Linked DNA regions of Caenorhabditis elegans. The protein of the gene in region 1 purifies or fractionates together with the protein of each later gene. This does not show direct contact. Each region holds a gene or a part of one and is shown in the gene's direction. Other genes may lie near its edges.

Evidence for each region.
Region 2: the proteins of mau-2 (region 1) and let-607 fractionate together in Caenorhabditis elegans (co-fractionation; one large-scale study listed by BioGRID). This does not show direct contact.
Region 3: the proteins of mau-2 (region 1) and mrp-3 fractionate together in Caenorhabditis elegans (co-fractionation; one large-scale study listed by BioGRID). This does not show direct contact.
Region 4: the proteins of mau-2 (region 1) and mapk-15 fractionate together in Caenorhabditis elegans (co-fractionation; one large-scale study listed by BioGRID). This does not show direct contact.

The regions. Positions count from the first base shown.
Region 1 is NC_003279.8:8,123,823-8,130,584, forward strand, and holds mau-2 (Maternal uncoordinated protein 2), read left to right. Parts: upstream 1-1,978; 5' UTR 1,979-1,984; coding exon 1,985-2,203; intron 2,204-2,252; coding exon 2,253-2,337; intron 2,338-2,387; coding exon 2,388-2,491; intron 2,492-2,628; coding exon 2,629-2,990; intron 2,991-3,570; coding exon 3,571-3,913; intron 3,914-4,156; coding exon 4,157-4,222; intron 4,223-4,712; coding exon 4,713-4,828; intron 4,829-5,345; coding exon 5,346-5,778; intron 5,779-5,981; coding exon 5,982-6,035; 3' UTR 6,036-6,219; downstream 6,220-6,762. UniProt on the Caenorhabditis elegans protein: Plays an important role in the loading of the cohesin complex on to DNA. Forms a heterodimeric complex (also known as cohesin loading complex) with scc-2/SCC2 which mediates the loading of the cohesin complex onto chromatin.
Region 2 is NC_003279.8:6,572,116-6,577,008, forward strand, and holds the start of let-607 (CREB-H transcription factor homolog let-607), read left to right. Parts: upstream 1-1,888; 5' UTR 1,889-1,963; intron 1,964-4,893. Other genes in the region: ipgm-1 (2,3-bisphosphoglycerate-independent phosphoglycerate mutase), read left to right, coding at 1-86, 205-315. UniProt on the Caenorhabditis elegans protein: Probable transcription factor, required during migration of the gonadal distal tip cells (DTC). Probably regulates cell adhesion of DTCs via modulation of expression of genes involved in integrin-mediated adhesion, including tln-1, src-1, and integrin pat-2.
Region 3 is NC_003284.9:15,936,304-15,941,311, reverse strand, and holds the start of mrp-3 (ABC transmembrane type-1 domain-containing protein), read left to right. Parts: upstream 1-1,987; 5' UTR 1,988-1,989; coding exon 1,990-2,166; intron 2,167-2,218; coding exon 2,219-2,347; intron 2,348-3,426; coding exon 3,427-3,567; intron 3,568-3,622; coding exon 3,623-3,742; intron 3,743-3,796; coding exon 3,797-3,983; intron 3,984-4,847; coding exon 4,848-4,967; intron 4,968-5,008.
Region 4 is NC_003281.10:6,066,028-6,072,617, forward strand, and holds mapk-15 (Mitogen-activated protein kinase 15), read left to right. Parts: upstream 1-1,829; 5' UTR 1,830-1,863; coding exon 1,864-1,911; intron 1,912-2,294; coding exon 2,295-2,375; intron 2,376-2,419; coding exon 2,420-2,547; exon of another isoform or gene 2,548-2,552; intron 2,553-2,740; coding exon 2,741-2,890; intron 2,891-3,816; coding exon 3,817-3,901; intron 3,902-3,999; coding exon 4,000-4,156; intron 4,157-4,203; coding exon 4,204-4,408; intron 4,409-4,552; coding exon 4,553-4,784; exon of another isoform or gene 4,785-4,788; intron 4,789-4,937; coding exon 4,938-5,082; intron 5,083-5,583; coding exon 5,584-5,765; 3' UTR 5,766-6,059; downstream 6,060-6,590. UniProt on the Caenorhabditis elegans protein: Atypical MAPK protein. Regulates primary cilium formation in sensory neurons and the localization of ciliary proteins involved in cilium structure, transport, and signaling.

The DNA.
Region 1 (6,762 bases):
ATAACAAGAAAACCTCTCATTTTATCTATCTCTCCTCTCATTATTCTTATCATCTTGACCTTATACGTCTCCCATTTCCCAGTTTTATCTCTCTCTCTTCAAATTCTTCCGATCCAGAAGAACCAAAAAATTAATGGAATGCCATTTTCAGATTTTGGCCAGAGCTTATTTTTAACAGAAAACAATTTTCCTTCTTATAAAAACGAAAATTCATAATTTGAGAAGTTTGAAGAATTAAAGATTCTAGTTTTGACTTTAATTAATTTTAATATTTATTATCAAAAAATAAAAATTATAATTGTGTAACTTCCCGTTAGTTAGAGTGAAGAAATTGGAATACCTTCAAAAATTAATTAATCTACATACTAAATAAATGTATTAAAAACTCTCGGTAATGCCTATAACATATAATCCTCGAATTTTAAAATTTAAATTAATTTCTCAAAAAAAACAGTTTTTTTTAAAGTTTCGAAATCCTTCAAACCCGAAACGGGCAATAAAATAAAATATAATTTGATAGGAAAAGGGAGGCTTTTTCAATTTTAAATGGAATGAGCTCAATGTCCAAAGAGGGCTCATCGTATTAGAAATTGAAATGAAAATAAACGAGAAAAAGCTGAGAGGAAGAGAAGAACACACACAGACGCAAAAGCTCACGGAGCTCTCGCGGAGCAGCTTCGACGTCTTCTTCTTCTATTCAGTTTAGATAGAGTGATTGAGAGACGCAGATATAAAGAGAACATAGAGGAGAGTGTCGCGATTCATCGCCTATACGCACGCCAGTAGAACGGCCTCTGTCAACTGGCTGATGTTTTCTCTGGGTCTCGTCACTTCTATATGCTTCTATCGATCATTTATATGTTAGGGAACGATGGTGAAGAAGGAGAAAAAGGAATATGCATACATGTCTGCGCCTCGTTGCCTTTATTGATACTTTATGCAAAAAGCGTGGGGATTTGAACGTTCGAAGGATTGCTACGTTGATGACAACTTTTGGAATCTGTTTTAACCTAAATGTATGTTCGAATACATCTAGGTCAACATTTCACAGAAACAAGATTTGAAAAAGATGGAAATTATTTAAAAGTTCGAAAAGTTTACCAATCTACAAAAATTGCATCAAACCTAGTATACTTTCTGAAATAAATATTTGAGTGAAACCTATCTCGGTTTCCACGTGTATACCTGTCAATATGTACAATTTCCAAATTGACACCATCTCGTCAGAATTTATCAGCAATCGAGTTTATTGTCTAAGAAAATTATTTTTATTCTACTCGGGAACATGACATAGTTTGAATTAGTTATACACTTTTTGAGTCCATGCGTTCATTTTTTCAAATTAATCTTCAAATATAGGAGTGTTGAAGCGTACATAGCTCCGTAAGTTGCTATTTATCCTATTGATAATTAATATAAATGCATGTGCCCGTGATTTTTCCGGCTATTTTTTGAATCGTTCTGCCAAAGATGTTTTCAAATGCATCGGAGAAATGTTATATTTTCAGAAATATTTCAGAATGCCTTTAATTCGTCAAGGTGATACACTTTTGCTTGATTTCAGGATTTAGTGATACAAAAATGGTCTAAATTCACTTGAATTGTTCAAATGTTCGATAGAGCGCATTTGCAAATGCCTCACATAGCATCCGAGAGAAAATGCATTCGGGGAATATGAGCGCCCTGGAAATGTTTGCTTCCTATTACTCTTTATGTGTTTTAAAACTTGTTTTATTAATTAAAATTTATGTAATAGCTTGTTTATCATTGAATTAAAACAGGTATTATTAAATTAAACTGGAAATATCCGGCGTGTTTGTTTCTTCCAAAAATGTTTTCTCCACTCACCGCAGAGCCTCCCGGAAAACTTGAATTTTATTTTTTATAAATTTATTTAAATTATAATAAAAATTTTGCGTTTCTTGGAATTTTCTCTTAGTTTTTCCAAAATTCAGCTTAAATTTAATGTTTTTTTCAGAAGGAAATGAACCAAGATGCAGTTGCGAAAGCCTTGTTGGGAATGGCGGAGGCACTGCGAACGCAAGATCCTCCGAAGTTAAAAATGGCAATTAAATGTGCAAGGAGTACGCTAAGCATGGAAATTTCGGATGAAATGAAAGCGATTTGCAATCTTCAGCTAGGAAAATTATTATTTTTCTACACTGATAATTTCGAGTTGGCTAAAAATCATCTTCAATGCGCTGTAAGAAAAAAAAACACTTTTTCGAATTAAGTTATGTTTCATATTTTAGTACGATAAAATGTCGGCGATGGGCACATTTTACACGAGAGACAAGATGAACGCCATTTCAATGCTTGCCGATCTTCATATTCATTGTAATATTCAAAAGTTTGTGTATATTGTTATTCAAATATATTATTTTCAGACCAACAATGGCCATTAACCTCTATCAAGGCAACGATTCGTCACGAAATTACGACGACACGTGGATTTCCAGCTTTATCCAACAAATTGATGTTTCAATTAATTGTTAGTGAAGTTTCTCGAATTTCCTGCAAAAACTAGAAACTATTCAAAAGCGAAAATAATTTAACAGATTTTGAGCGCCTTTCAAAAATCAAAAAGAATTAATGATTCAAAATTAGTGTCTAATGATTATTATTCAGGAATTAATGAAAATCGATAAAGACGTCGAAGGAGCCATCGAAATGTGTCAACTTGCAATCAATAGTTCCCATGCTGATCCAAAAATGGAATTATATTTCCGTATTGCGAAGACTCTTGTAACTTATCAATTAATGCACGAAGAACCTGACATTTCCGATGTAACGAGGATTGGTTCAATGATTAAAGTAATGGAGAACAGTACAACATCTGATAAAGCACATTTGGAATGTATCAAGGATTTCTATGTATGTACTAAACTCGCGTACATGTTCTACGAAGGAAAATCTCGAACTTCCCGGCAACTTTTACGACAAATTCAAAAATCACAAACAAGTGGAGAGACTAAGATCCATGGCATCAGGTATATGAACTTTGTACCGAATAAAATAATTAAAAAAATGCTTTTAAAAAATTTAAAAAACAATTCGAATTTTTCTTTGAAGCACAATTTTTGTATAAACGAAAAAAAACTTTTTAACTTGCTTTTTTTTGCTTTTTTCGGAACGAAAATCTCAAAGAATTTTGTAAACTTGAAACGTTATTTTGAAAAACGATAAAAATATTATGGTCAAAAACCCTAAAAATTGTGTTTGAATCAATGAAAAACACGGAAAAACGACTCTAATATGCAAAATAAGGTGATATTCGAGAAAAATAACTTTATTTTCGTCTACTGTGGCAAATTTTCAGATTTAAGCAGATTTTTTTTCGAAATTTTGAACTGTCACGAAAATTTTAATAAATTTTCAGCATGAAATTCTCACATTTGAATTCATTTTATATTCAAGAAAGATTCAAGAAAGAAGTTAAACTCCTGAATATAATGGAATCTAGATTTTGTATTAAATTCTCAGTTTTCACATTTTTGGCGTAAAATGTGAAAAATTCTAAAAGCTCTCATTTTCTCCAGAACAAAATTTAAAATTCCATTTCATTTCCAGATGGCTCGGCGAACCTTCGATAACTTTACTGGCATGTGTAATGAATCAAATCTGTGCTCTCGTTCAATCAAATACGGATCGTGTTGAGAAATATTATCATCTCGTAATCAAACACGCCGATGAGATTATATTCAAATCAACTCGATCACCACAAGAACCTGGAGTTGTTCGATGCATTAATATGATTAAAATGACAACATTGGAAATGATGGCATGCTGTAATGTATTAGCATGTAGACCACAAAAAACATTGCATAATGTTCGAGATATGTTGGAATGGTCAAATCGAACAAGTGGACCACTGCTTACGCGATATTTTACACCACATATTCATTATATTTTGGTAACTATTTATAGATTCCAAGCTGAGCTGGGGGAAGCAGTTATTTTCTGAAATGCTATAAAATTACCTATTGCGCCATACATTTCATTAGAAAAATCAATTGATTCATCTGAAAATCTAAAAATGGCAACTATTCAAGCAGAAAAATTCGAGAAAGTTCTCAAAAATGACCTGAAAGCCGTCAATTATCAAATTGTAGAATTTGCGAAAATAATTGCTATCCAAAAAACTTATAATCTTCAGGGTCTCCAATGCTGCTACTTCCGACAACATGAAAATGCTGAAAACCACTTCCGTGCGGCAATGAAGGTTTTTTTTTCAATTTAGCAAAACTAAAAAAAAGTATCAGAAAATTTTTTGAAAACAAAAGAGATATACGTAAACTTCGGATTTTCAATTAAAAAAAACGGATTTTCATTTGAAACATTTGAAAACAATTTTCGAAGCGAAAAAAGAAAAATTTGGTTTTCCTTCAGTTCTCCGTAGGTTTTTAAATTAAAAATTCCTGAAGCTGAATTTCTTGCTGTTTTTCTATAAAATTTTCTATAAAAAAAGTTTTTTCTCTCTCCAATTTTTTCGATCCACTCCCAATTAAAATTAAAATTCGCAATATTTCCGTAACATTTGTAAATTTTCTATCAAAAAATCTGAACATCGCTAGTATTTATAAATAGTATTTATAAAGTAAAAAGTAATAGTAAAAAGTATTTATAAATTTAAGGAAAAATCAAAAAAAAAAGGAAATCAAATTTCCCCATTAAATTAAAATTAATTTTTCATCGATATACCCGCTTTACAGAAACTCCACAAAGAAGATATTACCGCTCATAATACAATGGCTCTTCTCAATTTGAATCTGGCAATAACTTATCTCAATCAACTGAAAATGGCCGATTATTACGAAGTTTCAGAAAAGTAAGCATTTTTCAGAAAAATCTACAAAAAAATGTTAAAGGCAGAGTTGGGTTAGTGAGGACTTTACTGGAAAACTTGAAAATTTTCTAGGACTAATTTTTTTTTATATTTTGAAAAAAAATTTCAAAATTAATTTTAAATTCCCGCTCAAGCGAATTTTAGGATTTTCAGCGGTTTCCGGCAAAATTCATTAATTTTTCTTGGTTTTCTTTGATGCTTGATTTGAAATATCGTTTGTCAAATTTGCAGACATAAATTTTCCGGAAACGACTCCAATTTAGACATTTCAATTGTTTTTTGTTGCAAAATTGTAAAAAATCGTTTTAGAAAATTAGAAAATAAGTTTAATTTTTATTTTATTCGGTTATTACGGCCCTCTATATTTTTGGAAGACGAAAAATTATTTTTCGCCCGAAACACGACAAAAACGAGAAATGTTGTAAGCTTGAAACGCTATTTCGCAAAAAGCACAAAAAAAACGAAAAAATTATATCTCCTCCACATAAATCTTTTTCAGCTTAACTGCTCCGAAAATTTCGTCTTGCTCCCAAATGCTCAAGAATAATGTGAAGCTTCTATCAGCATTCTTCGCTTATATTACAAATAAATTGAATGAATGTAAACTTCTGAGTCACGAGGTTCTTGATGATTCAAAAGCAGAAGATTTCTTTCGTTTACATGGTCTTGGTCTTCTTCTTTTATCACTTGTTACTGATGTTGATGAAAAAGGAGTTCGACCAACTGTTGATTGGAGCAAGAAATCACATGATCATGTTGTTATATTATTCAGTCATTCACTCTACGAAAAAATCTTATTAGCAGCCGGATATGACCCTAAATCGGAACTAATGAAAATGGTGGTCAGTGAACAATTGGCTTCAAGACGGATGTTAAGTGTTGAAAATTTGACTCCTTTGGTAGCGAACATGCCAGCTTCTAAATTGCTTCAGGTGAGAGATCTACAGAAGTTAGACTTTGAAAAAAATAAGCTATGAATTTATTCAATTCTAAAAATATTCACATTTATTTATATTTTGTACAATTTTGAAATTTCAGAAAGAAAAGGTTGTAAAGAAGAATTTCATTAAAAACAAATGAATTTCACTTTTTTTTAAAAGTGTTCCCAATATTTCAGTAAATTTAATTTTTTCAGTGGTTCGACGGAGATCCATTCAAGCTGCTTCCTCGCGACGAAACTGTTCTATAAAGTTTTTGTACAATTCCCCCCAATCATGAAAGTCTGTCACATTTTGATAGGTTTTTATCCTAATTTTTTCGCGTTTTTCTTTCCTATTATCAGTTTCGTCCCCCTTAATCTCAATATGATTCTTTAATGATCTCTAATTTATGGCCTTATTTTTCAACTGATGTTCGGTAAAGTTTGTTTTTAATTATATGTTTTGCAACTTTTTTATCCTAAAAAATTATCATCTAATTTCAATAAGTTTTCATATTCATGGAATAGTTGTCAGAAAGCTTCGCCAAAATAATTAACTATCGTCTAGGATTTCCTTGTCATTATTTTTGCACAACCTATTATATGGTACTTTTGGAGGATCTCAATGCTGACGTAAGATGATGCAATATCCTGAGATGTTTTTGAGCCATTTGAGCATTTTTAATTGGTTACGACGCTATTATTAGCGGGTATTTGGCTCACCATGTGCTAATTTGATATATTATACTGAAAGGAGTTACTTGACCTGTTTTCGTGCCAATATTTTTCCCAACACATGTACCATGTAGACGTCACAAGATGAGAAGAATGACGACGAGTTACTGTATCAATTTATGAGCCGCTGTGCATAATCTTGAATGAAAAATAAATCTTTAAAAAATAATAAAAAATTGCACCCCGTAAATCGGCACAAGTTACAGTATCTCATTTCCTGCGTGGCAAGACCCATGCGCGTAGGAAATGATAAAATTTATCG
Region 2 (4,893 bases), 1.6 Mb from region 1:
AGGCTCCAGATGGTGGAAAACACACTGCTCACACATGTTACCGTGTTCCACTCACTTTGAGCCATCCAGGATTCAAATTTGTCGATGTGAGTTTTTGTCAAACGTTTGAAATTTTTATTTAAAAAAAAACAGAAACCCATATGTTAAATGAAAATATTAATTTACAAACGGGTGTAAATAGCTATTCACTTCACACGTTTACAGCCAGCCGACCGTCATCCGGCCCTTTGTGATGTTGCTCCAACAGTTCTCGCTATTATGGGACTCCCTCAACCAGCTGAAATGACTGGGGTCTCGATTGTTCAGAAGATCTAGATTCAAGTACAATGATTTCAATATTCAAGTTCTATGAACTATATTTTCTACAGTATTCTTTTGTCCAATTTCTTCCCAATTACCTACTATTCAATTCTGTTTATAGTCTGAAAATTTTTATGTATTTAGATCCTTAAATTAGTATGAATAAAATTATATTGCACTGAGAAAATATTTCATTCATTACTATGACCTGTCGGATGACTCATATTCTATTTGCTATTTATGTTTTTTTTCTTGCTCCGGAATGAGCTCTGTAGTCAGTTGCTCAACATTTTTGAAGGGTCAATTGATGGTGACATTTGGCCAATAGACACACTGAGCACATCTGCGGAGCACTCTGACGGCTCGCAAAAGATTGATTTGATCGGACTTTTACTGGGACGAACTGAGAAAAACCATTGGTTTTCTCTGCGTCTCTTAATTTCTCAAACTCTCTTGATTTAGTATCTTATCGTTTCTTCTAATGCTCTCTCTGTGTGACATTTTTCATTATAGTTTCTCGAAAATTCTTTGGAGAAAATGTTGCTAGCATTTTGATGTCACTTTCGTTTGAAAACTCCAGAAACCTCGCCTTTTCCTTATCGTTTTTTAGCATCACTCAGTTAAAATGACCTATTTGTGCCACGAACCCAGTTTTATTGAGAAAAATCGAAATTACTAGGTGAAATTCTATTTTTCGTTGACTTTGAATACGTGTTTGATCGAATTTTGATGAAGCAAAAAACATGAAAATTACATGACCTTGCCCTAGATACGTGGCTACATGGCCTGACCTTTTAATTAACAGAAAATTTTAGGATTTTTTTAGGATTTAATCAGCAGATCATAGATTTTAAAGAATTACATCGTTTTTTAAATCTTCAGAATATTTTTCTGGTTTTTAAGTAAATGTACATTTTATAAACTTTACAAAGTGTAAATAAGAAAAATTATTTTGTTGAGAAAAAAATCGAGCATACAAAAATTGAGACCCGAAGAACTCGGGGGATGTCCTATTGGGGGGATTACCAACTCGGGGGATTGGCCCCGCCCACAGAACCGTGGCTTGCAATACGCCCATTTCTGCAACTGCCGCACGGTTTTAAAACTGTATTTTTCTCAATAGAGCGAGAATTAACAAGAAAAAATAATTTTAAAACCGTGCGGCAGTTGCAAAAATGGGCGTATTGCAAGCCACGGTTCTGTGGGCGGGGCCAATCCCCCGAGTTGGTAATCCCCCAATAGGACATCCCCCGAGTTCTTCGGGTCTCCAAAAATTCAGAAAACTATATGGAAAAGGAAAAAAGGCAATTGGACATAATAATTTTTATATCCTTCACAATTTTCTGAAACTCAGAGATTTATTCAAATGATTTTTTGTTGGTGTTTTCAGTGTCCACTTTGAAAAAAATTCCGCAAAAGTTTCCGCAAATTGTTTTTCTCGTGGCGAGACCCATCCGAAAAAATCCGTGCGCCTTTAGAAACGCATTACGGTACTTGTCGAGGCTTCTTTTTCAAATATTTACGTTGAATTTGTGTTTTCTTCGTTATTTTCAGATTAATATAATATTAATCCATTCAAATCTTTCAGAAACTTCCCCAAGCGGTCTTCTCATCTCAAAATTTGCCACGTGGCCACGCTCTCTTCTCCATAAATCTGAAGAAGGTGGGTTTTCAGTTAATGTTTATCTTTTAAAATTATTTAAATTTCCAACAAAAAAAAAACAAACGAAGTGACGTTGTTAATTCAAATGCTCGCGTCATTCCTCCACTAAAGAGTCCAGTATTCAGGACTTTCTCTCTTTTTTCCTCTTCTTCTTCAATTCTAGCTCTGTTTATGGAATAGCCGTTTTTAGCTGCTCTCCCCGTTTCGCTTTCTTTCCATCTTTTCGTTTCCTCAATCCAAATTATATTTTCACTTCCCTTTTCAGCTTCTTTTTCACTGTTTCTTTGCTGCTCGCTTCTGCATTCATTTCCGCCCACATTCAGTGAAAGAAAGCTCTTGACATTTATTTTAGTCAACGGATAGCAGCCAGTTTTGGGCTGAAAATGGATAATTTACACTAAATACTCGATAGCAAAAATTCAAAAAAAATTATGGAATTTCTGTCTTAAAAGGGATTCGTGAATTCTAGAACTATTTCGTATCGATCATAAATTTTATAAATCCCCTAAACTTTCGAATATCTGTACATAAATGTAATCCTTTCCGATTTTGTAAAACCGGTTTCCTGTGGTGAACGACTTGTTATTCTACAAGTTTTCTTAACTTATTCTCGAACCTTCTCCTTTCTTCTTCTTCTTCTCATTTTCCTTTCCGTCATCTTTCCCGCATTGAATAACAAGATCTACATACCGTTAGTGATTCCCTTTTTGTGTAGAAATACAAACGATTTACACGAACAAGGAAGTTTGTACCGAGAGAGAGAGAGGAACTTGGAATGGAAGAGAAACATTATTTCTCTCTTTTCACTTCCTAATAAGAGAATGAATATAATGACCAGAAAGCAGTAGAGAAGAAGCCAGAAGTGTGTGGACAAGCGGACGCGACGAGATTATAATTGATACGGTTTTCGAAGATGAAGTGACAGCGAAAAGAGGATGAAGCCCGGTTTCGGTGCGATAATGATGAGGAAAAAGTGAACGGATTTTGAAGATTTAGGAACTTTTATTTGAGAATATCACTTAAAAATGTTGAAAGATTTTGGAAATTCAGATTTTCTCGTTCCGGGGCCATAACTCGAAAAATTATGAAATATTGTGCGTTCTTTGTTGAAAAATTAATTTAGCCTTTCAATAGCTCAATTATGAAACATACATATATCTTCAATTTTAAAAACTATCCTCTATTTTCATTGAAATCCGATAGGAATGTCAGTAAATAAAATATCAGTTGAATAAAGCACGTGCTCATTAGACCGAAATGGCTCATCTCATTTTCCATCTCCATAGATAATCAAAACATTGTATTTGTTTGGTTTGAAGATTAATTCTTATTTATAAATATGATTTGAAAATAGGAGAAAATTTTATGTTTTTGAAGTGTGCTCACAACCGGAAAATCAAAAAAATTGTAATGACAACTAGGGTACGGTATCTATGAGTAATTTCCACGATTACCTCTTTGAAAGTATATGAAGCCAGTTAGTATTGTTGTTTTTCGAAAAAAATTTGCTGTTTCCCAGATTCCGTATAGTTTTTTTTCTTGTCACTCGTTTACATAATTACATCCACTCCTTTGGCTTCTTCTGCTTCAAGTTTCCATTCGTTTTTTGACATGTCTCAGTTTGAAGTATGAATTCTTTTTTCAATTGTTATTTATCCCGTTCTTCGTGTTGGCATTTCTTTTCTGAACATAACTGGAACTAGAGCGTGGATAGACTCACAATCTATTTAGATGATGTCCATAAAACACTTGGGATCTTTAACTTACACAAAATATATGTGCGTCAAAATATGAAAAAATAATAATATTTCCGGCTGATTCTCCGTTTTCCAATATTCCCGTCAATGGCCTGCGTTCTGTTCTGATTTTTTTCATGGCCAACAATAAAATATTTATTTTTCACTTTCCTCTCCATCTTTCTTTGCAATATAGTTATTCCTGTGGTTCTTTTCACTTTTTTCATAGAAAGTTCTGCGATGAAATTGGACGGTTTTGTTAGCTAAATTTCAATATTCTAGATCCACCAAAATACTCTATTTGCATATAATAAGTAGGATGTACGTACCTGTATAAATATCATTGCTCTCTTTCACAAAACCCGACAGTATCCATGAGTCATTTGCGTCTCTGTTATGAATGTATGGTATATGTATGAATTACGCACTATTCCTCTTTTTTCTGTGTTCTCTTGTCCGGCTAGCTGAAGTAGTAATAGTAGTACTTGACCAACAGTGAAAAGTGTGATCGACGAACGAATACCGTCATATTCTGGTTTTGTAGAGGTTTTTGGGAAATAGTGTTGGACGAAAACTTTCAATACATCCAAATTCGCATTGAATTGTCATTACTTCAATCGGTTTTTTCTTTTAATATTTTTGCCTGGAGTACCGTTTTTTAGCGTCAAGGCTATAATCTAGTTTTCATGCTGCTATATATATTTTTAAAACTATTTTGTACGTGGCCTTCGATAATTTCGGCTCATCTTTCACTGGTTCTCATGGCAGTTTATATTATTTGCGCGATCTGTTTGTGGGATTAGCGCACCTAAACGGATAACCCAAAGGTAATGTCGGCATGTCATCCGTCTCAATCAAAAGAAGCAAAAGAGATGGCGCAATAACCTTTCCGAGATTTGATTGGAGAAAAACGAATACAGTTTATCGCATTGCGGACGTCATGTCTCCGGGTAACCTGCTGGGTAATTGGAGGCGGCAAGTGTTCTTGAAATCTCAATTGATCTAGAGGGGATCAAAATGAAATTCTAGAGTAATCAAACAGATATGAGAACCACTTTATTACCATTCTTATTTTTTAGCGTTCTCTTTGCGGCCCACGTTAGATTAGTTGATAGAATATCTCACGAAAAGCCGATTCGAATTGGAACTTTGATTTCCTAGATGTCACCTAAACGACAGCAGTGTTCCTAATTC
Region 3 (5,008 bases), on another chromosome or scaffold:
ATATTATTTGTTATTTCAAACATTAGGATTACAAAATAAAAAGTACATTGGAAAATTTTTTTAAATAGCTGTAGTTTTTAAAATTTTTTATATTTTGAATTGTCAAAAAAATTTACAAACGGTTGTTTAAATGAAACTACACACATGTATTCCTTAAATTGTTCTTTGAACCCAGTGAACTGGTGTTTCACCCGCATTTATAAGTTATAAAGTCAACAACAAACTGACCAGAAAACCAATAGTACTAGTACAACATTTTTGTGAATTTCTAGAAAAAAAAATAAATTTCTGTTGGAAACCTCTGGAAAATTAGAATTCGTAATTTGACAACACTTTTTGCTCATATTTTGGTTTTGTTTTTTAATTTCTAATATTTTTTGTTAATTTGTTTTTGAATATATCTAATCAATTTCCAAAAAATAAAACATCAAAAAGTGTTGTAAATTTTTGTGCAAGACAAAATTTGGGAGGATTTTTTTCATGGTTTCGACCATTTATTTTTATCCAAATTCGATATTCTCAAATTATTAAATTGCTTGGTTTGGCTAAAAATGAAATTTTATACATTATCTTCAAACAAATTTGAGTTGTCTTGCATTAAAGGTGGCGTAGTCAATTTTTTTAGATTGATTTATTAGAATCAAAATTGTTTGAAAACACCGAATTTTATAATGAAACTTCTTGAAAACTTTTCAAAAAAAAAGTTATGACGGGTAAAAAAATGGCCTAAAATTAGTTAACATTTGAAATTTGACCGACTTGTCACAGCGGCTGAGATCAATTTTTTTTAAAATCACTTTTAAAAACACATTGTATGTATACTCAAAATTGTCCGGAGATTTCAAATAAAATTGTTTCCAGCCGCTGCGACATGGACAATTCGGTCAAGTTGCAAATTTTAACTAAATAGGCAATTCTTTGAGCCGTCATAACTTTTGTTTTGAAAAGTTTTCAAGAAGTTTCATTATGAAATTTGAGTTTTTCAGACAATTTTAAGTCTAATAAAGCAATAAAAATTCGACCACCTTCAAAAAGAGCATTTGATTTGTGTCAATTGTGCACTTTTGTTCCTACTCCGCCAATTTTGTGCTCGTCTCCCCTTTCAACACACATCGACACCAACATCGACAAAAACACGTCATTATCCATGAACACACATGTGCTCCACCCCATACACTTCCTATCTTGGCAAGATCAGCGACATTATAGTCACCAGCTACCTACAAACTTGCACACAAATCACATTCAAAACACACAAATGCGCTGTCACCTAGGGGTCCTCAGTCTGTCTTATCTCATCACCGTTTTTGATCGACACAGGAGACCAGGAGACTGCACGCATTTTGGTGGTAACGTGATACCATTAGTATCACAACAATTGCTCTCGCTTCTCCTGCTTGTGTACAATTTATTTGCCCGTTTTGTTGTGCTAATGATTTGATTTTCGAAAAGAGAATTAGTTTTTGTGATATCAAGTTCAGTTTGTGTGTATTCCAAAGTTTTGTGACTTTTTTGAAAAAGTACGAATAACTTTTTTATTCTGAAAAAAACTCGGTATTTTTAAAGTGAAATTTTACAAATTCAGACAAGTTATATCAAGTAACAAAATATTGTCGGAAAAGTGCATATATTTCGCAATTTATTATTATAAAAACTTAAGAAATTAAAAAGGTATATATTTCGTTAGCCTGTATAATTTTGCACTGAATTTTTGCTCCCTCTCAAGCTGAACGTTTTAGGTTTTAAATTGTTCAAGTTATCAGGTTTTGTAATTTAGAAAAACCTAGAAAAAAAATCATAAAAATTGCAGTTAGCGCGGCAAGACCCAGACGCTTTCCTTGAGAATTTTAAACTTAAAAAAAAACAATTTAAAATTGTTTAAGCCTTCCGAACAGTCATTTTTACGAAATTTATTTTTTTTAATTTTCTGTCTTTTTTTTTTTTGGAAATATTCAGCTTCTAACTCCACTAAAACTTTCAAATTTTCAGATGGAAATAGACCAGCTTCTCAACTCCACAGGTCCACCTATAAGTATAATTCTCCCTAGCAACTATGTAATCGTCCCATCCATTTTCTTCTGGATCCTAACACCTGTTATCATTCACGACTGCAAAACTAGTCGCCAGACACCTCTTCCATGGTCAACACTGATGAGCTTGAAATGGGTAAGCAGAACTCTGTGCAAAATCAGATAAACCACTCTATAAAAATTTGTAGTTTGTCGCCAGTTTGCTGATCATTGACCGATTGTTTGTATTTCTTCTCGCTGTATGGGAATCTCTTTTTGAACACAAAAATGTGACGGCGGATTTGTTCATCATACCGTTCTTTCATAGTTTCACATTGGTAAGTGCCAGATGGCAAGATTAAATTGTTCTCAAATGAGATTCTGTGGAAAAAAGTGTTTCAAATTCGTTTTCGATAAAGATAAAATTTGAGTGATATGTATTAAGTTTGTGTTTTGATGTGAAGTAAACTTAGAACTAATTGGAATTTTTGGAACATGGTTTAAAGGAAAACTAACGGTTTGGACAGTTTTGAACGTAAACAATTACACTAATTTTAGTTAAAATATCAAATTCTGCCTACTTCTCTGTCCCATCTGCCCGAAGTTCATTTTTTTTTTGGAATTAACATCTTTTATTGCATATTTTGGTAGTTTATCTCTTTCAATTTTGCCGATTAAGGTACATTTAAAGCCTGTGGTTACCTATCGGCTTTAAATATTCTTTAATAGAAGAAATTAATTGAGATAAACTACCAAAATATGCAATAAAGAATGATAACTCCAAAAAAGTCAACTTCAAACAGATGCGACACAGAAAAGTAGGCAGAATTCGAGATTTTAGCTAAAATCAGTGCAATTTATTCAAAATTTTGAAAAATTTTCGAGCAGTTTCATTACGAACTTTGTTAATATGAGCCCAATTTGGGTATATAAGTTGAATATCGTCCAAACCGTTAGTCAACAGAAGAAAAAGTGTCGTGAATTGGTTGCAAATGAAAGTTTAAAAAAATTTCAAAAAAAACTACAATGTCTGACTAAATTTCTGTTGCGGACGACATCGGCCTTGCATCTATTCAATTTGTTTTCTACATGAACAAGAACTTGGGCTCCCAGCTAAGTGAGGCGCGAAATGCCGCGCGCCGTTGTGTGTATGATAGAAGTGCGAGAGGTCGTTATTTGAAGCGGCCGACACGTTCGGAGTTCCGCAGCTCAACGTGAAATGAGTAGCTTGGTGTGCGCACACGTTCGGAGGTCCGCGCCTCACTATACACGAGGGGTGACTCGGTGAGGCCGGCGCGGCGACCGCTGAGGCCGGCGGAGGCGCCGTTGCGGCGACCGCATGGGAACCCTAACAAGAACATTGCAAGATTCCGATGTTGAATTTAATCCTTATAAAAAATGCAAATTATTTTTCCAGCTTGCCCTCCTAATCGCCACAAATGAGGTTCGTCGGGCTGGAATCCACTCCTCTGGACCACTTTTCTGCATTTGGATGCTTTTCGCAGTGGCTGCAGTGCCCGAGTTCTATCAATGGATGACAACAGGCAGCCAGCCAGAGGTACGTGTGTATTCACCGAATTGTTTATATTGAAGCATCGAATTTCCAATTGCAGCTTGTTGCCCGAATCGACTTCTTCCGCTATGTAGCGTACTTGACGTACTTTCCCTTGGTAGTCGCCGAATTTGTACTACATTTTGTGTCTGATCCGTTCCCGATGCCAAGGGGTTATCAGGTGTGACTAGAGAGATATGATAGGAGAAACGTTTTAGGGAAAATTATATTTTAGAACTTGAAATGCCCGGAAGAAAATGCAAATTTCATCAGCAGGCAGCTATTGCTTTGGTTCACACAAATCATTTCTCTAGGATATGAAAGAACGCTTGTGGCGGATGATGTTTTTGAAATGGATAGTCAAATGGATCAGGAGTACCTGAAAGCTCGATGGAAGACAGAGTGGCTGAAACAAACAGAAAGTATGGTAGTTTGATTTTCAAAAATTTATTTTTAGAAATATTTAAAAAAGAGGTCAGAAAATTGTCACTTTGTTTGAAAAATTATTTGAAAAAATTAAAAATGTTGATTTTTAATGTGAAACGTTGCATTGTTAAGAAAAATAAATCTAGTGTCAAAAAAACTACGGAAGAGCCTACTAGCCAGGGGTGCGCGGTTCGGCAATCAAATTTTCGGCAAACTTGGCAATTTTGGCAGTGGCCGGAATAGCCGGTTTACGAATATTTGCCAAAACCGGCAATTGCCAAAATTGTTGATTGCCGGAAATCAAAATGGCCCTAAATATAATTTTTATACTTTTTGTAGAGTTAAGAGCTTAATCATGCATTTTACTGAACAATTTTTTTATCAAGCTCAAAATTATGCAATCCTTGAAAGATTGAATGTTTTCTGTTAGAAAATGACTTAACGAATACTAAAAACAAAATGAAATTGTTGAAATTTCCGAAATTGCCAACTTTGCCGATTGCCGAAAATTTTCATTTTCGGACATTGCCAAAATTGCCGAAAACTTCCGATTATTAAATGTACACACTTTTCCCATATTTCATTGGCTATTTGAACGCTTTTAGGTCTATTTTATCCAAAAAATGAAAATTTTTCTGACAATGTTTTTCTGGTCCGGCAAAACGTCGGTGCAAGATTATTAGAGAGTGCTATATTAATAGAGGAAAAACGATAATTTCTTGACATTTAGAAGACTGAAATTTAAAAACAAATAAAAAAATAAATATCAAAAATTGTGTTGCTTCTATTCAAAAAATCGATAAAACTAGATAGTTAACACGGATTTTTCTGAAAACTACGGATTGCAAAGATTTTTTCAGAAGCTCGTGAAAAACAAGTGAAGCTCGATGACAAACGAGAACGAGCCAGAACTGGAAGCGAGAAAGCCCCACTTTTAGGTACTTTCAATAACTATGGCGCAGTGAATCTTGATGATAAAGGTTAGTATTTTTTTCGTAATAAAGGTTAAAATTAAAATTTC
Region 4 (6,590 bases), on another chromosome or scaffold:
GCCTCGTGGCCTCGAAACGTGTGAGAGAACAACGGAGAAGCGGACATACATCGACCAACACGTCGTCATCCGATTAATTTTCGATTTTTCTTTTTTTTTCAAATTTTATTTTATTTTTTATAAAATAAAAATTTATATGAACTATCAATTGTTATTAATGAACCGCAAATTTAAAATATATGGCGAATAATGGGGGTGGCAGCTAGCTGGTCACCCGACGAATATTCGCATGACGCGGTTTACCTGTGTTATTTTTTGTAGTTGTCACATTTATCAATTCATTTCATCGTATTACGCGCATGGCAGATTTGGCGCAATGGATAGTGATGATGAACGAAGAGCAAAGGACCAAGGGATCGAGATAAAGAAAAATAATGTTAAGAAGCTGCAAGAGTCTGCAGAAACATGATAGAAAGCTGCAATACCTGCAAGCGCTTCGATTTGTTTTTCGCGCTTCGATTTGTTTTTCACGCCAAGTTTTGCCAACCTCTGCAGATTTCTGCAACTTCATAACAGTTTCTTGCAACTTTATATAATTGTTTTTATTAAGTTGCAGAAGTTTGCTAAGAAGCTGCAAGCGTGCGCTATAAAGTTGCAACGTTTTACCGAGTATTGCAGTGGGAAGTGATCTAATTTGAAAAAGTCTCAAAATTTTCAAATTTGTCAGCGGAAACTAAGCATGACGTCACAAACATTACTGGAACAGTTTTACCCTTATTGAACAGTGAAGCCACGCCTGTTGTGGTCTGTTGTGGAGTTTCTAAGCGCAATTTATCACATTTTACAGTCTATTTTTGATGCCAACTACCTAGCACTTGTGTTTCATGGTCTTCATATTCTCAGTGCCTTATTTATTTCCATCCGTTCAGCTTAAAGGTTTCAACCTATAATTTTAGGCGTTCTCTATCATCATCTTCCCCCGTCCATCCTCCGTTTCTCTCATCCTCCATATGTTCTCTTTTCAACAAGTATTCCATATCTACCTGTCTTCTCTATTTCCATTCCGCGCCCGGTTCATTTTTCTCGTTTATATTTAGTAGTGAAGCTGAATCAAAAAGTCAGTTGTCATTTACATTCACATCAAAGAGTTCTTTCCTATTTTTGGGTGGAAGAAGATGAAAAAGAGGGCAAGGTTGACGTCAATATGACGGAGATTTTTTTGTTTTGAAGAGATTATTTATTTTGAATATTCAGATATGTAGGTTGGTTGGAATAATAGTTTGAAATTTGAATTTCTTCTAGTGAGCCTTTACCACTTGAAACTATTGTAGATAAGAATGTCGTTTTCGAACGTATTATGTTGGCATTGAAAAACCTAGAATTTTATTTGAACTTATTGAATGTATAAATTCCTTTTAAAAAATTTCAAAATCTTCAAATAGCTCGAAATTTCTCAACTATACTTATTTTGTTGCCGCACATTCAAACTTTCTCTGAATGCGCATTCACACTTTGCCCATCATATTTTCCTTTTTCAAAAAACACCGCTAGTAGAAAGGAAATAGTTGTGATCTCAAGCACTGTCTTAAAAAAAAACCCCCTACAAACGGTGATTGCCGAGTTGCCCATTGAAAACAAAACTCTCTTCCACTTTTTCTCTGTTCTCTAAATCCCTAACTCTACTTTCTGCCGAGCACTTTTTCATTCGGTTACCATGACAATTTCTTCATCTCCTTCTTCTCTTCCTCTTCTTTTTCTTTTTCTTCGTTCAACTATTCTAGAGCCGCCGCCACCACTCTTTCCGTCTACTCCCACACCTTAATCGATGCTCTCTTTTTTACTTTTTCTTTTTTCAAATAATATTTTCTTTCACTTTCCAAAGATTTCAGCTGACCACACGGGTACCATTCGGAGTTTTGCACAATGACCGACGATGTGGACACGCACATTCATGAGAAATTCGACTTGCAGGTTAGTTGTTTTGTATAATTTATTTTCACATTTGGGAAATGTTTTTTTTTGAGATATATAAATTTTCAAGATTAATAAAAAAAATTATATTCACCAAAATTCAATTTGAAATACTCGGAGCGTGAGTCGTTGCTGATTGGCAAATTTCTTCCCAAATTCAAAGTTTTTCTAGCTTTTCTGGAATTGTTGTCTTTGTCTGTTTTATCCACGAATACATATAAGTATGATTATATATAAATAAATATTAAAAATAGATTTATAATAAATATTGCAAGTAGCCCAATTGAGCTATGTAAATTGGAAAAAAAAATAGGCCCCTGTCTCTAAATATCAGGGGGGGGGGGGGCTTGCCACACAAGTGAGACTAAAAATCATAATTTTAGAAACGTCTCGGAAAAGGTGCATATGGAATTGTGTGGAAAGCATACGACAAGAGGTCGAGGGAGACGGTGGCTCTGAAAAAGGTGAGATTTCTTAACCAATTTTCATAAATAACTGTTTTTTTCAGATTTTCGACGCTTTCCGAAATCCGACAGATTCCCAGAGGACATTTCGAGAAGTGATGTTTCTTCAAGAATTTGGAAAACATCCAAATGTTATAAAGTTGTATAACATTTTCCGAGCAGATAATGATAGGTGAGGTTGGAGAATTTTTATTCTTAGCTTACAAAATAAATATATTGTTTTCATATTTTATGTCTTCAAGGGTCATACGCAGGTAACTGTCACTTTTTAAAAGTAGAAAGAAATTAACAAAAACAAATAACTTATGTTTACACACTTGATCAGACTTTGATCGGATTAAAAAAAAATAATTATGTAATTGCAGAGATATCTACTTAGCATTTGAGTTCATGGAAGCTGATCTACATAATGTTATAAAAAAAGGGTCGATATTGAAAGATGTCCACAAACAGTATATCATGTGCCAGTTGTTCCGAGCAATTCGATTTTTGCATTCTGGGAATGTGTTACACCGGTGAGTACGAGCAGTCTGGAATTGTAATAGTTCCGTTCTATATTTTTGATAACATGAAGCCTGAGTTTCCCTTTTTCTTTCTGAATTCGTAAAAGTATTGAAATTTTAATGGATCATCAATCACATTAGCTATAACATTCCTGATTTCCATTTCCTGAATGGACAGCAAAATAATCACTTCCTCCGTCTAGATATGGAATCTTCATAGGAAATAAAAAAACGAATCACGATAACTTCCGTCATGATCATCATCATATTTTTATTATCAGTAAACAGATTTAATCCCCTTCGCTCGAGATTTATTTTTTCGACAATTGCGTGTCAAAAATTGGATTAGAAGAGGTTGTTTGGGGGTGGAGGAATATGATTAATTTTGTATACTGGCATGTCTGGAGAAATGTAGAAAGACGGCTATATTTAATTAAGCGAACAGTTTGAAAATCCCGCGCGACTAGCGTGCTTGCGACCAATCAGCGGTGTCAGTCACGCCCCTCGTATCATTTATTGGACTGTGCTCACATATTTTCTGCATAAGTTTAGTTATCAAACTAGTCAAAAAAAACATAGTTTTTGGTGGCGTTTTTCTTGATGATTGATGAAAAAATGGGAATACTTTTTATTAACTATAGAGCTAATATTGCTAGTCCTCATGTGCCGTCATTTCTACAAACACGGTTTTAGAATTTTTCAATTCTTCTAAATTTCATATAACTGAACCTCGTCATATTTCATAGACAATCATGTATTTTGTGCGGAATTGCAAAATTTATAAAAATGGACCGGAAGTCTGTACTTCCGTTATTTCGGACGGAAGTCCTTACTCGAATCTATTCTTTTTGGTCTTTTATCTTTTTTTTTAAATACCGACCATTCAATAGTTGCACTTTTTGTTAAATTGTTCACGTGTTCAATGTGGGTCTTTGCAGGGATTTGAAGCCATCGAATGTTCTACTGGATGCAGATTGTCGTGTAAAACTTGCAGATTTCGGATTAGCGAGGAGTCTTTCGTCGGTAAGGGTTAACCAGTCCAATAACAACTTACCTGTAGCAATAGTTTGTTTCATTTACAAGCCAGTTACGTGCTCGTTTCAACAATCTTGCTTTTTCAGCTTGAAGATTACCCTGAAGGCCAAAAAATGCCGGATCTAACAGAATACGTGGCAACAAGATGGTACAGAAGTCCGGAAATTCTCCTGGCAGCCAAAAGATACACAAAAGGAGTGGATATGTGGAGTTTGGGATGCATTTTAGCTGAGATGCTGATTGGTTAGTGATATTTTTAATTTTCTAACAAATTATTTTTTAATTCTCAGGACGTGCTCTGTTTCCGGGATCTTCGACTATTAATCAAATCGAACGAATAATGAATACAATCGCAAAACCTTCAAGAGCTGATATTGCAAGTATTGGAAGTCACTATGCAGCTAGTGTGCTTGAGAAAATGCCTCAACGGCCGAGAAAACCACTTGATTTGATTATAACTCAATCACAAACAGCTGCGATTGATATGGTTCAGAGGTTTGTTAAGTAATTGAATTAGTATTAATTAACCTACAACAATTTACTATTTTTTGGAAATGTGCACAAATTATCAAACTTGTAAAATGTATCGCGCTGTTTGAAAAATAACACATAAATTTATTTTAAATTCCAAATTTTCAGATTGTTAATATTTGCTCCTCAAAAACGATTAACCGTTGAACAATGCTTGGTACATCCATATGTGGTACAATTTCATAATCCATCAGAAGAACCAGTACTCAACTATGAAGTTTATCCACCACTTCCGGATCATATTCAATTGAGTATTGACGATTATCGTGATCGATTGTATGAGATGATTGATGAAAAGAAGGCCAGTTTTAAGAGGATACAACATGAAAAGATCCGACCTGTGGGTAATTATTATAATATGTGCATTGGGGTTTTTGGGTAATCTAGAAATTGCTTAACTGATGGTTTTCCAATCTTGAAAATTTAGCCGAAACTAGTACACATTAACCATCTAGCATAACACTAACTGATTTTAGTTTTTGTATATTTTCAGTACGGCGAAGATAAGAGTCGTGCTCCGATTGCTCAGGCTGAATGCAGTGATACTGATTACGATACGGCAAGAAGCTTACAAAGAACAACAAGCATGGATAAGAATAATAGTAGTTCGCATGATAGTAGTTCTGGAACTTTAAGAGGTAAGACAGCATGGTAAATATATGGCTAACAAGTTAAAGTTAAAAATATCTTTTAATCACATAAATTAAAATTAAACTGCTCGAGACTCACAAATTTGATATTTTTATGGTATTTTTTGAATAGGAACCTTTCGTTTGGTTTTTATGACAATTAAAATGCCACAAAATTTTCCAAAAACCAATTTTAAAAAACGCTTATTCAAAAGTCTGGATAAAAGATAGTGCGTAAAATTTATTTTAATTTAAAACCGCCATGGTTCTATCTATAGATAACTTAAGAAAATTAATTTTGAATTTTGCGCGAATTAAAGAAAATAAGTTCACAGTTCCCACTGACAAGTTTTGAAAAGTTTGAATTTCGTGAATTTTTTTTTCAAAATTTTAATTTTAATTTTTCGGTGGAAAAAATTTGGTCGGTTCTCTAAACAAAACTCCACATTCCACATTTTTTGGGCACTAGTATCTTACAACCAAAAAATTAATTCAATAAGAAAATTTCAGAGCGAGCCGCTTCAGCTGAAAGTCGAACCTCAAAAGATAGCAACGGAGAGATGAGAAATGGGAATGGGAATACTCCAAGTAGTATCAAGCAACGTCGTCGTTCTGTCGAAAGAGCTCGATTATTTGCAAATATCAAGCCTTCCAAGATCCTTCACCCACACAAATTGATCTCAAATTATTGATTTTTAAAAATGGAAGTAGACTTTTTTGTTCTTAGATTTTCAGTATTGTCAGGAGCAGCCCTCTCCAGACAATTCTGTAAAATGTTCAACTAATGGCATTATTTAGTGTTTGCTGTTTCATTTTCTTCATTCTTTTTTCCTTCAAAACTAGTATCATTGTGATGGTTGTTTTGCGGTTATTGACCAATTTCTCTAGTCAGTTCTTACCATTTTTTGCAATACTTTTTGAAAATGCATTAAAATAATTATAACTAAAAATATTTATTGAGTTCAATAATAAACGGGTTGAATAAACTTTCTACAAATTTTTGATTCGGGTTTTAGATATGGAGTAGCGTCAATATGTGTATTGCTTTAAACAGCATTGGAAAATCAAATTTCTTTATGAGGCGTGTTTAAAAATAATTTTCCAGATTCAAATGAAAAGTTAACAAAGTCTAACTTGTCGTCGCGGAATTTATTAATTTAATTAATCCGTTGAAATATAGCCCCGTTCTATAGATGTTTCGAACCACCGACATTTTTTTCATGCTTTTTTTTTAATTTTTGAAACCTTTTTTTTAATTAAAAAAAAGTATCATCTCGAAATTCAGCTTTTCTAGGAGATTTTATATATTTTATGTAAAAACATATTAAAGTTCTGAAACGTTTAAAAGTCGATCTCGTTTAAAAGTCAAACTAAGAAAATTATCGATATACATTTCAAATATTTATTTTTTCTATACCGTAAAGCTTGAAAAATGTTCCCCTCGTTTTCTTTACCTAATACTTTTTTATTAAATTTGTTTCGTAAAATAATCCACCCCTCAAAAATAAAATCTGCCT